Neurospora crassa OR74A: one gene and its partner. The protein of the gene in region 1 binds, or shares a complex with, the protein of each later gene. Links are inferred from orthologs where the notes say so. Each region holds a gene or a part of one and is shown in the gene's direction. Other genes may lie near its edges.

Region 1 (6,326 bases):
GGGTAGTCGCGCGAAGCAAGGAGGTCTTATATAAAATTCTGGTGAGGAAGCAAGCGAAGATGTGAAATGCGATTTGCGATTGCGGTATCTGTTGTGTTGTTTTGGAAGGGAAACGTGGTGGGGTAGTTGTGGTGCGAAGTGAAAAAGAACCAGTGGAGCGACGGCGATGTTAGCGATTCCGTGGAGGCGGGGGGGCTTTATCTTATCAACTGACCAGGCAACGGAGTGTGGGGGCTTGGGTCACCGTTTGGGTTGTTCTCACTGCACCCTCTTCTTGTCATCTCTCACCAGGCTGCCCGAGATGGCGGCAACAGCGTTTGAAGCCCAACTGACAATGAAGGCAACACTTCACTCCAGGTGGGGCTTGGATACTACGTGTACACCTCTAACGGGAGCATTGCAGTTGTGGGAGAACCTTTGAATCTAATTGTGGCCTTCCTCGCTCAGCTCTTCGAGGTGGCTTGTGACGGAATGTAATTCCGATGATTTTCCTTATTCGATCTAGGTTGTACGCTCTTTGGGGTGGACGGGAGGCACTTGGCAGTCCTCCCTCACATTGCATGAACCGCAGCCTGGCAAAGCAGTAATGATACAAAGCAGCCGCATTGGTCTCTTGGTTGAAAATCAATGACCACCATCTCTAGTGACCGTCTACCATGAGTACTTCGTCATAACTCCCGTTCATCTTCTGCTTCTCATGAATGACTTCGACGTGGGGGACTTTCTGCTCTAATTGACCTTAATTTGACGTGTTATAGGTCTCTAGAATCTCAATCGGTTAGACAGCCGATATCAGCTTGTCAAGTTCAGTGATCCTTCTGGCCATTTATTATTATTCTCTAATGTACAGTAAAAGTGAGTCCATAGACTATCAAAACTCCCGTTTGGGATCAGACGCTAACAACCTCAGCAGCGATTCCACATCTCAATCATTGAACCGCGTGTTTGACAAGCAAGTCTTGCGCTACAAGACCGTGATAAAGACGCGGGCCAGTTCAAATCCCGCTCAAACATCGTCCACGATATCATTAACCTCAGAGTCGAGTCACAGCTGCTCATGCCTGTCGTTGACATCGTTGCATGACATCTCTACCCCTGAACCCGCCCCTGACATAAATCCAACTCGTCACCTCGGGGTTCTCTCCTAATCTGGCAGCTGGACGGTAAAGGATGCCGAATTTCCCTTACTGCGCCTTCTTCGCGTTCCTGCTCTCCCGGAATTTGGCAATCTCGACCGCCACCGCCTTATCCACGCGCGTCTTGAGCTCCGGGCGGTAGCCCAGCATGAACAAGAGTTCAAGCCAGACAAACAGCGGAGCGAGGAAGATGGCTTGGAAGAGGTTGTCCAGGAGGGCAGGGGCACGGCCCTCAAATTTGCCGTGGCCGAGGAACTGCGCCAGCCAGCTCACAATGTGAACGACAATGGCAACCTTGGTGGTCAAGACTGGGTCGGCAATGCGAAGATAGTTGGTGAAGGCGCAAGCACCGAGGCAGATGAGCGCCAATGCGGTGCCGGCGACCGGCTCGAGGAGAACGTATAGTCCGCCCCATGTCAGAGCCGCAAAGGTGCCCAGGTTTGGCTCTAGGTACGGTACCTGAAGCCAGGAGGGGAGTGTGAAGAATGGTCCATAATTGGAGGCCTAGTTTGGAAGCATGAGGCGTGTGAGAACATGTCGCTAGGGACGAGGGAAAGTGGTTCAAGAATTCATACAATTTCAAAGGCTGAGAAGAGGATTAAAGGCACACAAATCATGTGGATGACTACATTAACGTGATTAGAGTGGTAAGCACCATACTGCAAGCAGGGAGAGGACAAGTTAGCAAAAGGCTCCAGTTCGTGAATTTCGAGCGAGGTGAAGTGGACGAAACAAGCAAGGGTGCCCGAGCAGGCCGACTTGGAGCATGTAGGTTAGAGCTTGGTAAACTCAGGCAACAAAGCTTACAAAGGTGAGTTGCTTTTCTAGGTTGAGGGACATGGTGAAAGTGATGCTTCGGATTTGCCCGGTATGATTAGGTTGGTGCTGTAGACAGCCTTGAGGTTCAGGGTGTGAATGGATGGCGAGATCTCGCTCAGTTCCGTGAGACCCGAGACAGGAGAGCGACAGTAGATGACAAGTCGAGTTGCGTCGAGGGCGACCAGTGAAGAGAGGAAATGAATCACTGCCACATGTGTATAAACGAGCAACAGGTGGAATTGGTAGTGTTCGAAAAGCAGAGCGTGCAGCTAATGAAGACCAGAGAGCGGCGGGATCTGGTGATGTGGGAGTCTGTCTGGTGTTCCACTCCGCATATCCATCTTCATATTCTCAGAGGGCTAAAAGCTACGTGTGGATGCCTCGGTTGTGGAGTCGCCATCAACAGGAACAAGGGAACCTGTTAAGGCTCCCGGCCGGCCCACCCCCGCAAACCCTCCAACTCGACGGCCACAGCGCTATCAAACGCATGCTGACAGGACCCGAACGTGCCCCGCCTCTGTCGGTGCTCCTACCGACGCGGTTACCTCTCGGTCAACGAACGTTAACGTCACAACCTAAAGTGGAAGGCCAACAGCTGTGGTGTAAGAAAGGTGATCAATCGTGAGTTACCCGTTTCAAGTCTTGTTTATGAGCGTTCTCATCTTTTGGCTTCTCGAACCACCATACTGTCTTTGCTGTGGCCATTCGAATCTTCCTTCTTAGACATCATTCGACAGTCTGTCTTTGTCACATGTTGAAACGGCATGAGCCATGGTACCTTTACTCGAGCTTACAGCTACATGAACGACTAAGGAACGCTGGGGGCTGGTAGAAGACACACTCCCTTAAGAAAAACCCGCTACATGATAGTACAGCAGATTATTTCACAAGCCTTACAACGAGCATCTTATGCCTGGTCTGGTTGAATGATATGATGGAATTGGGATATTTGGTGTTGAAGTTGTGGACAACACCGAATCCCGGCAGCGCCAAGACCGCTTCCGTGTGGTCAGTGCTGTTCCTTGCAGATTGTGCACGAGCCATGTGCTAAACGTCAAGGGACGAGTGACAGGCCAAGCTCGCAAGGCAAAGTCCCGAAACCGCGTCTGCGGCGGTCTCTGTGTTGGAGGCTACCACTTCCAGAACCTCCAAGCTTTTGTTCCATCATAGTCGATATCTAGTGTATTCCGTCAGCCTTGCTCTCCCGTCACGACGTCTCCCCACAAAACCAAGTATCACCTTCGACACGATCCCTACACCAACATTCTTGCTGTCGATTTTCGCATCTCGCCCTCACTGTCATTTTCGTCCCGACACGCGACTTCAATTGCCCAAGTCTCGACAGCACTGCCGCCGCCGTCGCACCCCTCGACACGACAGCCGCGCGAAGGCATCCCGAGGCGCATAACCTCTCCAGGGCATCGTCTTATCGACGCCCACTTTCAGCCGACGACACCCCGATCCCACAGTACTAACCCGCCACAATGTTTTTCCTCCATAACCTCGAGCGGCGGGTTACCCTGCATCCATCCTATTTCGGCAGGAACATGCACGAACTTGTCACGACCAAATTGGTCAAGGACGTGGAAGGGACGTGTGCCGGTGATTACTACATCATTGCCATCATGGATGCGTTCGACGTTAGCGAGGGCCGCATCCTCCCCGGAAACGGCCTGGCCGAGTTCACTGTGAAGTACCGTGCTGTGGTTTGGAGGCCGTTCAAAGGCGAAGTGGTTCGTTACAGCGAAGATTCTCGGTGGTGTTCTCTCCGTTCGGATGGTCTAACGAGGAGTCCCTACAGGTGGATGCTATTGTCTTTTCCATCAATCCTCACGGCTTCTTCTGCCAAGCTGGCCCGCTCTCCATCTTCGTTTCATCTCACGTACGATGACGCCTACGGTCTTTTTGGATACGCACATACGATGCCCTCGAACTTCGATCGCTGACAAGAGAACTATAGCTGATGCCCGAAGAAATCCACTTCGACCCCAACGCGACGCCTCCTCAGTTTACCAATAACGCTGATATGGTCATTGAGCCCGGTACGCACGTGCGCGTCAAGATTGGTGGCTTAAGAACGGAATTGGGTGAGATGTATGCCATTGGCAGCATCAACGGAGATTTCCTTGGGTGAGTTTCCACGTCTTAGCGGCGTGGTTGTGCTGTTTGTTATTAACCAGTTTCTTCCTTTCCAGGTGTCTGCAAGCATAAGGGACTTGCAAGATGCAAGAAGGTCATTCCCAAACGAAGGGTTTGGACTCGCTCAACTACTACGAGGTACTCGCTCAACAGAATCCTAGTGAAGCCACGAGTTAGAGTATACCCTGGGTTTACATCAACAGTTCTGGTCGGCTGATGAAGCCTCTGGCCCGGTCAAGAAGCAAGTCTTCTGGGCAATGCTGAAAGCCATCCGTATCGAGGGCCGTTTCAGGATCTCTGTGGCGGTTTATGAAGGATCATGTTTGCCCCTTAGCAGCGCGTGGGCGGCAATATGATCGAGCCCCTTGTTGTATTGCACGCGGGAGTGCGGCGGTAACACGCTCAAGGGCTTTCAAGGAGATGTCTCGTCCGAATGAGACTCAACGGGGTTGGTATTTTTGTCATGATTTGCTTGGGGTGCGTAAAACCTTTGTCTGTGGCGTTTTGAGGCATTATTGGGGCCACAAGCGGCGCCTGGAGTCTATTGACGGTTTTTTCTTTTTGAGGTATTTGCAGCATGCTTTCTGTGTTTGAGCGTGATTACTGGTATTTGGGTAACTGACATTATCGACGTATCTGCGACATGGAGGACATGTCGCTCTTAATACATGGGCACATGATGATGTCTTCAGAGTTTTGCGGGTACAATGCCTCAAGGTTCTCGGGTGCTTGGCTTAGACTGACCAACAAAAAACGACTGTCTGCGATACCACAGAGGGCATCTCGCGCGATTGTACTTAGAGGGAATAATCCTTGTTCAGCTAAGGTGCTCAGTTACCATGAGCAAAGACAGTATAAGAGACACCGCAGCACTCGCTTGGCTCATAAACTCGACTCCCCGGTCTATCTCCTGAACGTCTTGACTAGGAAGCATTCAGTCTCGGGCTATTATACCATGTGATGGTACCCAACGAGGTGGGATGTTGTGATGGCTCAGTTGCCGTGGGGGGAAACCTCCCATTTCAAGCTGACAACTTGGTGCGTGCCCATCTACGATCCTCCCGCAACATTTACAAGGACCTTGAAGCACCATATCTCAATGGTTCCATAATCTTCAACGAAGCGCGGGGGTTACGCAGCAGTGAAGACGTGGGGAAAAGAATAAAACGACAAGGGGGGAGGTTCATCCACTAAGTCGTCGAGTTGATACTATGCAGTAAACGTTTGGCCGGTGACCTGTCCATCGTGAGGCTACGATATCTCTTGACTTTGTGGAAGAATAGTATGGCCGAAATACGTCGGGCGAACTAGAGCAGAAGGGGGTAACAGTGGGGGCCAGATCGGTGTGAAGAAATCCCCAGAATGAAGTAAAGCGGAGGCGAGAAGTTGAATCGGGGTGTGGGCATCAAACACCAAAGAAAGAAGGCCAAAGTTGGAGGAGGATATCTGGACTTGTACCAAGTTGTCATCATATCCATTTGGGGTTGAATCTGCTACCTATGCCGCTGGAGGTTCAGCTATAATCCCATTCCACCGACGCGGAGAGGCTTCCGTGCCGCTCTATTTCATCTCATGTTCCCTCTATCATAGAGGTATCTTTAAACATTGCTGCACTTGCTATGATTGTAATACAATAGGAAAGCCATCGACGTTGTGCTACCATCTCTTTTTGTGTTGTTGAAAAACTTTGGAGGATTCCGTGCCGGCAATGTCTCTTTGGCGCCTTTTAAGCTGTCATTGCTGTCAGGACCCGAAAGGAGGCTGTAGATCATGCTGAGAGGTGGAAGGGAATTGAGAGTCGACTGCCGTGCTCAAGACAAACTTTTAGCACACAAAGTAGGTATGTTCGTCACTGATATTTTTTTTGACCAGTGGTCTAGGGGATCTTGAACACTGCCCGGTGTGATATTTGCATATATCTGGGCATGCACCTACACCCTATACCCTCAACTCCTTGTTTCGGTGTAATCACATCATCCAGGACAGTCAGTGGTACAGTGTCAGTACGTCTTACCCAGCCTAGATCCTGCGTCCCCAACGGGAATAGCCTCAAAACCCCGGCGTAGAGTAGCAATTCGCCATCGATTTCTCCGAGAGGATGGCGCTTTCCCACTCACCCTAGCACTCGCGATTTGCCGTGCTTTTCCATCTGCATTGCCATCGACGACTTGGTCTTCCCTTTCCCCCTCGAATACCCATGCGGGTGTGGGGGTTCGCATTACATGGAGGATA
Region 2 (5,551 bases), on another chromosome or scaffold:
TCCGTACTTGTCTGTCGTCCTCGGTTGATGACATTGTAAGTGTGTGAAAACAATGAAGTGCCTAATTTTCTCTTGGTTAGAAACAGTTCTTAAACCGAGCTTGCGTCGTGTGTGAACAGGAGAGATAGATTGGCCAAAGGATCAGAAGCCTTGGACAGCCGTATTTATCATCACTATGAATCAGGGGATTGACAGATTGATACGTTTGTTGTTTCATCATGAAATGACCAACTGGGAAGTGTGCAAAAAGAGCTGTTTTGACTTACCAAAAATGCTGTTGTTGGACACGACGACACGAGGAGAGAAAGTGGGAAACTTCTGGGCGGAGGTGCGTGGGCTTTTATCGCGCCGTGGCAGAAAACGGCGGAAATTTGGGCGGTGAGTCCACGACCCCACACATTTTCCTTGAGCTCCACCCCAGGTGTTGCTGTACGCCCGTAGGTAGCTCCAGGCGGGCGTCCACCAATGGTTTCAGTGGCTCGAGTGGACTTACAGCGTGCCCAATACCTGGGCAAGTAAAGAGACGGGAGTTTCAATGATGATCAAGAAGCTCACCTGAACATATGATGAGACTGCCAAAAGGGGGCCAAAAAAAGTCGGTTATTTGCAAAAAAACAAGCCGTTAAATTGCCAAGCGGAAGATGACTTTAGAAATCAAGCCCATCCTTCTTTGGAGCAGCTGAGGGCTTCTCCTGCTCATCCTCGAGCATAGGCGGGAGACTGTACGGTTTGATCACCAAGCCCTTGGATGCGCTCAAGCTGAATGACAGGTTCTCACGGAATTGGCCCGACTCTGCTCCTCCACCACCCTTCTCATGATACACAGGCAGTGTGTATACTTTGAACATACCCTGGGGTTGCTCGTTTGCCTTGGGATCCGACCTTGAGGGCGGCGGTGGCGCGGCACCTAGCCTGGCAGGCAAGGGGATGAGCTCGACGACGCCGTCACAAAGAATTTCTATCCACCGGACCAGGCCTGAACTGCGAGGGAATAAGGACGTCGGGAAGGTAATGATTGCTGTGAGCTGGGTGCTGTACAGTCGAAGGAGAGCCCGGAGCCCATGTAGAAACTGTAGAACCTCTGATGGTTGGGCGCATCCAGGAGGATAGAGGGTTGGTGAGAGGAGACTGGGCACCACCAGTCTATGAATGGCGTTTGATCCTGAGCTCTCCAACTTGGCCCGCAATTGCTTGAGAAGCATCTTCAGAGGAGAAGCTGTCCCAACACTTTTCCGGTCTAAGCTCGGGGAACCGCCAACTGAAATCGGGTTCAGAGTACCCTTGGACTCGGAGCTGGCAAGCCTCTTGCTGAGATCAAAGGAGTGACAGAAAGGCGCTCCAGAATCCCCACGAGCAGAAGCTCCTGCATTGGCGTTGTTACCCAAGGACTCATATCTCCACGCAATCTTCATCTTCTCTTCGGGTGCCGGCGCCGGTGATGCACTCTTTGACTTCTTGTCAGGTGAAGCCAGCCCTGGAAGCTGATGCCTCCATTCTGGCGGAAAGGCTACTGCGTGAACCTGATGCCCTTGGACGAGACCCTCGGCAGCATAGTACCGTAGAAGAATTCCAGAGAAGTCGGTGGTCCCTTGCTCCTCAACCAGTAAGCATGTTCCTAAGGGGAGTCCACCGTGTCCTGCAAGAAGTTGGTCCAGGGAAGCAGTGCCAGTTGAAGTGGTCAACCTGCCATCAGTTGGTGATGGTCGAAGACCCGGCGCAAGCTGCGTTTCCTGTTTGGGTTGCTGCTGCTGGGGAGCGGACGGCGTGAGTCCGGCTCTCGGTGAGGATAGGACGGTGTTTCTTTTGACGAAGGACATAGTTCAGTCGGCAAGTTGCAGTCCTTATTTGAGTATCGAATCCAAACTTGATGATGTTGAGGTATGTATTCTTCAAGTCCAAATATAGTCGATTCGATCCCTGGAAGAAATTCCATGGAAGCTTGGACGTCACTGGAGTGCCTGAGAGCCCCGCTGTACTTTTGTCACACACTGGACGGGCGTGACAGGGATTTTCAATGGTGGTTGCCCCACTACTTGCCCCGGCATCCTGGTCCAATTGCCGCAAGGCTGGAATTTTTTGGGACGGCAACTGCATGGCGGCATCTCCATCGCTCAGTCGCATCTCCAAAAGTTTCCCCAAACACCATCATTACTACCGCTCGCGACAATTCGTTTTACCCACCTATCGACACGCGTTTGATACTCGACCAAAATCTGACACTAGTATCCTTCCGAGCAATCAATATCCAACATCGACTGTTTCATCGATTCCACACCAGCATTCACAATGTCCGCCCTCACGTCCGACGCCCAACTCTTCGAGGACGAGTTCAAGGTCGAGAGAATCAGCGATCCCAAGTACGACCGCGTCGACCGTCTGTACTGCACCTCCGTCGATGGCCAGACCAGCATGCAGCTCGATGTCAACAAGGAGCTCTTCCCTGTCAAGGTCGGCGAGTACCTTAGAATTGCATTGGCTACTTCCTTGTCCCTCGACGGTAGCAAGGACGACGAGAGGGGTTGGCGCGATGCTGCCAAGCTCGGTAGCGTTGAGCAGACCCTGGCCGACAGCTATGAGTATGTCTGCCATGGCAAGGTCTACAAGTTTGAGGATGGAAAGGATGGCCAGACCATGTAAGTTGTTGCCTGGGAATTGGGCAGGAGTATCTCGACCTTGGAATTCGGGGAAAATGAGTGGCTGACTGGTTCGGTTGCGAAATTTAGCAAGGCGTATATGTCCTACGGTGGTCTTCTGATGGCCCTCGATGGTCCCTACAAGAAGCTCACGCCCCTGCGTGTCGACTACGTCTACCTCCTCGCCAACAGGAACGCTTGAGAGCTGAAATTTCCGGAGAATAAAAAATTGAAAAAAAGCAAATGTTTCCAGCGGCTAAATAGCATCAGACCGATCAAGAGTCTAGGGCGCGAGCAACATTCATTGGATCTTTGGAGGGCGAACGGGCGTTTAAGGTTATGCGTGGACCAGAAAAGGCATATCCTAGGGAAAAGGGGTCTGGGGAAAGTAATGAATCAACGATACCCGGAAAGCAAGTACCTGTATTTATGCCGCTACCGAGCCAAGGGCTGTCCATCTGCCTTTGGAAGAGCTAGTGCCCTGCGGAAGGTGCTCGATGGATTCAGGCCTGATGAGGACCGGGAAAGGCGATGTGTCGATGAGCCCGGTCACGAAATGCGTCGTAATGCGGCTCGTTTTCAGGCGTGTAAATGCCGTGCCGAACGAAGAAATCGAGCATGACGACGGCACAGTTCGGCTTCCACATTCCCTGGGCGAGCTGTTTCTGGATCTCCTCCACTGTGCACAAGCTGAAGCTCTCGACCTCGCCGTCTTTTGGCTCGGGGACGACACTTCCATCCGCAGGTAGCTCTAGATCATAAATCCATTGGCATTCCGGGTAGATCAACCCCGCCTCGCCTCCCGCGCGCTCGTCCGTGATGTAGATATAAGTGATGGTGCAGACCTCTTTGGCGTTGTTCCTCACGATATGCTCGGACAGTGAAGCCTCTTCGTCCGCCTCACGGATGACGCATTCGAAGGGGTCTTCGTTGGTCATCAAGCCACCCGCTACCGCGTTGTCCAACATGCTCGGATAGGTCGATTTGGTCGCGGACCGCTTGGGAACCCAGATTCTCAAGTCATACTTGCTGCTGGCATCCTGACGTCTGATGAAGGCGTTCATATGCACGCCGTAGCGTGTGGTTCCAAAGAGGCCCATAGCTGCCCGCTCTATGCTGAACACGAGCTCCTTGTTGCGACCATAAACTGGCCACAGCTCGTTTCGCCAGCTCTTGAGGATGGCAAATGCCTCTTGTTCACGCCAAAGCGCAGTGAGCTTTCCGACAAGCCGAGTGCGTTCCTCGTAGGTTTTGTCCGGGGCATCACGGAAGAGCACTACAGTCCTATTAGAGACATCGATGTGCAACCCTAACTGTCCTTTGAGAGTTGCCGGGGCTTTGTTGAGTGCATCGACAACGTCCAGCTTCACGTAGCCTATGGGTACCTGACCCTGCTGGTCTTCCCAGACGAACGTGTAGAAAGACTTCATGATCTGGGCATAAGCCTCGGGATCCCGGTCCGCGTAAGGGAAGCTTGATTTTTAGAGATAATGTAAGCGCTCGTTCTGGTCATGTTCGGAATCCAGGTAGGCCTTAGATCCGTTCACTGAAGTTCCATCTAAGTTCCTGGGCGTGAACACAGAGGATTCGGTTTCACAGAAAAAAAATAAACAAATAAATACGTACGCATCGACTTTAGCCACCAAGTCGAGGGTGGACAACCGAGGAGTCATGGTTTGGCAACGGGTTCCCGAGACCTTGGATAATAGGGCGTGGTCACACGGGATCGAGTAATGCAAATGAAGCCGAAAGTCTGGATTTGTTGACTTGAGCTTGAGAGGCACAAGTGAGAGGATGTTGTCAAGGGAAGAGAGCGTGGGGAAGCAGATATTGGCGTGCGCTAATCTCCTGTCGTTCGGGAGCGCAATTGAAGACCGTCGGGAATTGGGAGGGGAGGAACATGAAGCATCTCAAATTAGGGAGACAGCATCAACAGGGCAATTCTTCACTTTCAATATATTTGAATCAATGGAACGAATTCGTGTTTGAGGTTACAAGCGCAAGTGAATTAATTGATCTCATATCGTCTTTCCTTCAGATAGTTCAGATGACGAGACTCGGGACAGAACTTATGGAAGGATAGAAATCCAAAAAGCCCCTGTCGCGTGTTGAGGCGCTTTGTAGCGGGGAAAGAGCAGTTTACCACAGGGGGTCACAATGGGGCAACGAACAATCCTCATTGAAAGTGGAAGTTACAGACAAGGACTTGGCCTTTCCATCCATGTCATTGGATCCCAGAATGGAGATTGTATCGTGGAAATGGAGGGTCTATCTACTGAAGCTTCAAATTTTTGCAAGTCGAGGACTCTAGAATCATCTCTATGTTGGTTCCAAGACCCAGTGATTTTCTGAACTGCCCGGCTGCCCTGCCGTCACAAGGAAGCATCCGAGACGGGAGACCCACAGTAGCTTGAGATCTCGCCATCACATCATCAGCTTCAATAAGAGTGTAGAAACAAATATATACCAGACAACTCTTCGGGGGAAACTATCAAGTATAATTGACAGCTATTCTTTTCAATGAGGAAAACCGTGAAATCCCTTTCCCTCTCTATAGCCAGTGACGGTTGTGCGCAAAGAATACCTACCTTGCTGCCAGCTCATTGTTTGACCCCACATATTACGGCATTATAAACGCTTCGGCCGCTCCACGTCCGGAAAACAACTGAGATTCGAGGACAAAGCGGCATCTTCGAGGAAACAACAAACGGAATCGGTCATTCACCCCGAGTCCAGGTCTTTGTTTACATAGAGTTGACATTAACAGCTTCACACGCTACGACCGCGAGTTCGAATTCGTGGTCTTTTGTCTTCCAAAACCGAAGCTCACCCCACGATCTTGCGAACACAACTATACATCTTGAAGGACCTCAGCCATAGATATCCTATCTCATCCGTTCGATATATCTATCAGAGGC

Evidence for each region.
Region 2: NCU02661 (region 1) and NCU08030 share a complex: the UniProt entries of both Saccharomyces cerevisiae proteins name them as parts of the RNA polymerase II (Pol II) complex. The link is inferred for Neurospora crassa OR74A from reciprocal best matches to the Saccharomyces cerevisiae genes RPB7 and RPB8.

The regions. Positions count from the first base shown.
Region 1 is NC_026501.1:3,098,036-3,104,361, forward strand, and holds NCU02661 (DNA-directed RNA polymerase II polypeptide), read left to right. Parts: upstream 1-2,866; 5' UTR 2,867-3,439; coding exon 3,440-3,688; intron 3,689-3,756; coding exon 3,757-3,837; intron 3,838-3,915; coding exon 3,916-4,085; intron 4,086-4,150; coding exon 4,151-4,166; 3' UTR 4,167-5,011; downstream 5,012-6,326. Other genes in the region: NCU02660 (DUF962 domain-containing protein), read right to left, coding at 1,185-1,640, 1,712-1,795, 1,944-1,976. UniProt on the Saccharomyces cerevisiae protein: DNA-dependent RNA polymerase catalyzes the transcription of DNA into RNA using the four ribonucleoside triphosphates as substrates. Component of RNA polymerase II which synthesizes mRNA precursors and many functional non-coding RNAs.
Region 2 is NC_026504.1:3,964,786-3,970,336, reverse strand, and holds NCU08030 (UDP-glucose 4-epimerase Gal10), read left to right. Parts: upstream 1-2,125; 5' UTR 2,126-2,286; coding exon 2,287-2,633; exon of another isoform or gene 2,634-2,723; coding exon 2,724-2,835; 3' UTR 2,836-3,136; downstream 3,137-5,551. Other genes in the region: NCU08032 (tRNA-splicing endonuclease subunit sen34), read right to left, coding at 1-34; NCU08031 (paxneb protein superfamily), read right to left, coding at 648-1,817; NCU08029 (thiamine pyrophosphokinase), read right to left, coding at 3,137-4,106, 4,260-4,306. UniProt on the Saccharomyces cerevisiae protein: DNA-dependent RNA polymerases catalyze the transcription. of DNA into RNA using the four ribonucleoside triphosphates as substrates.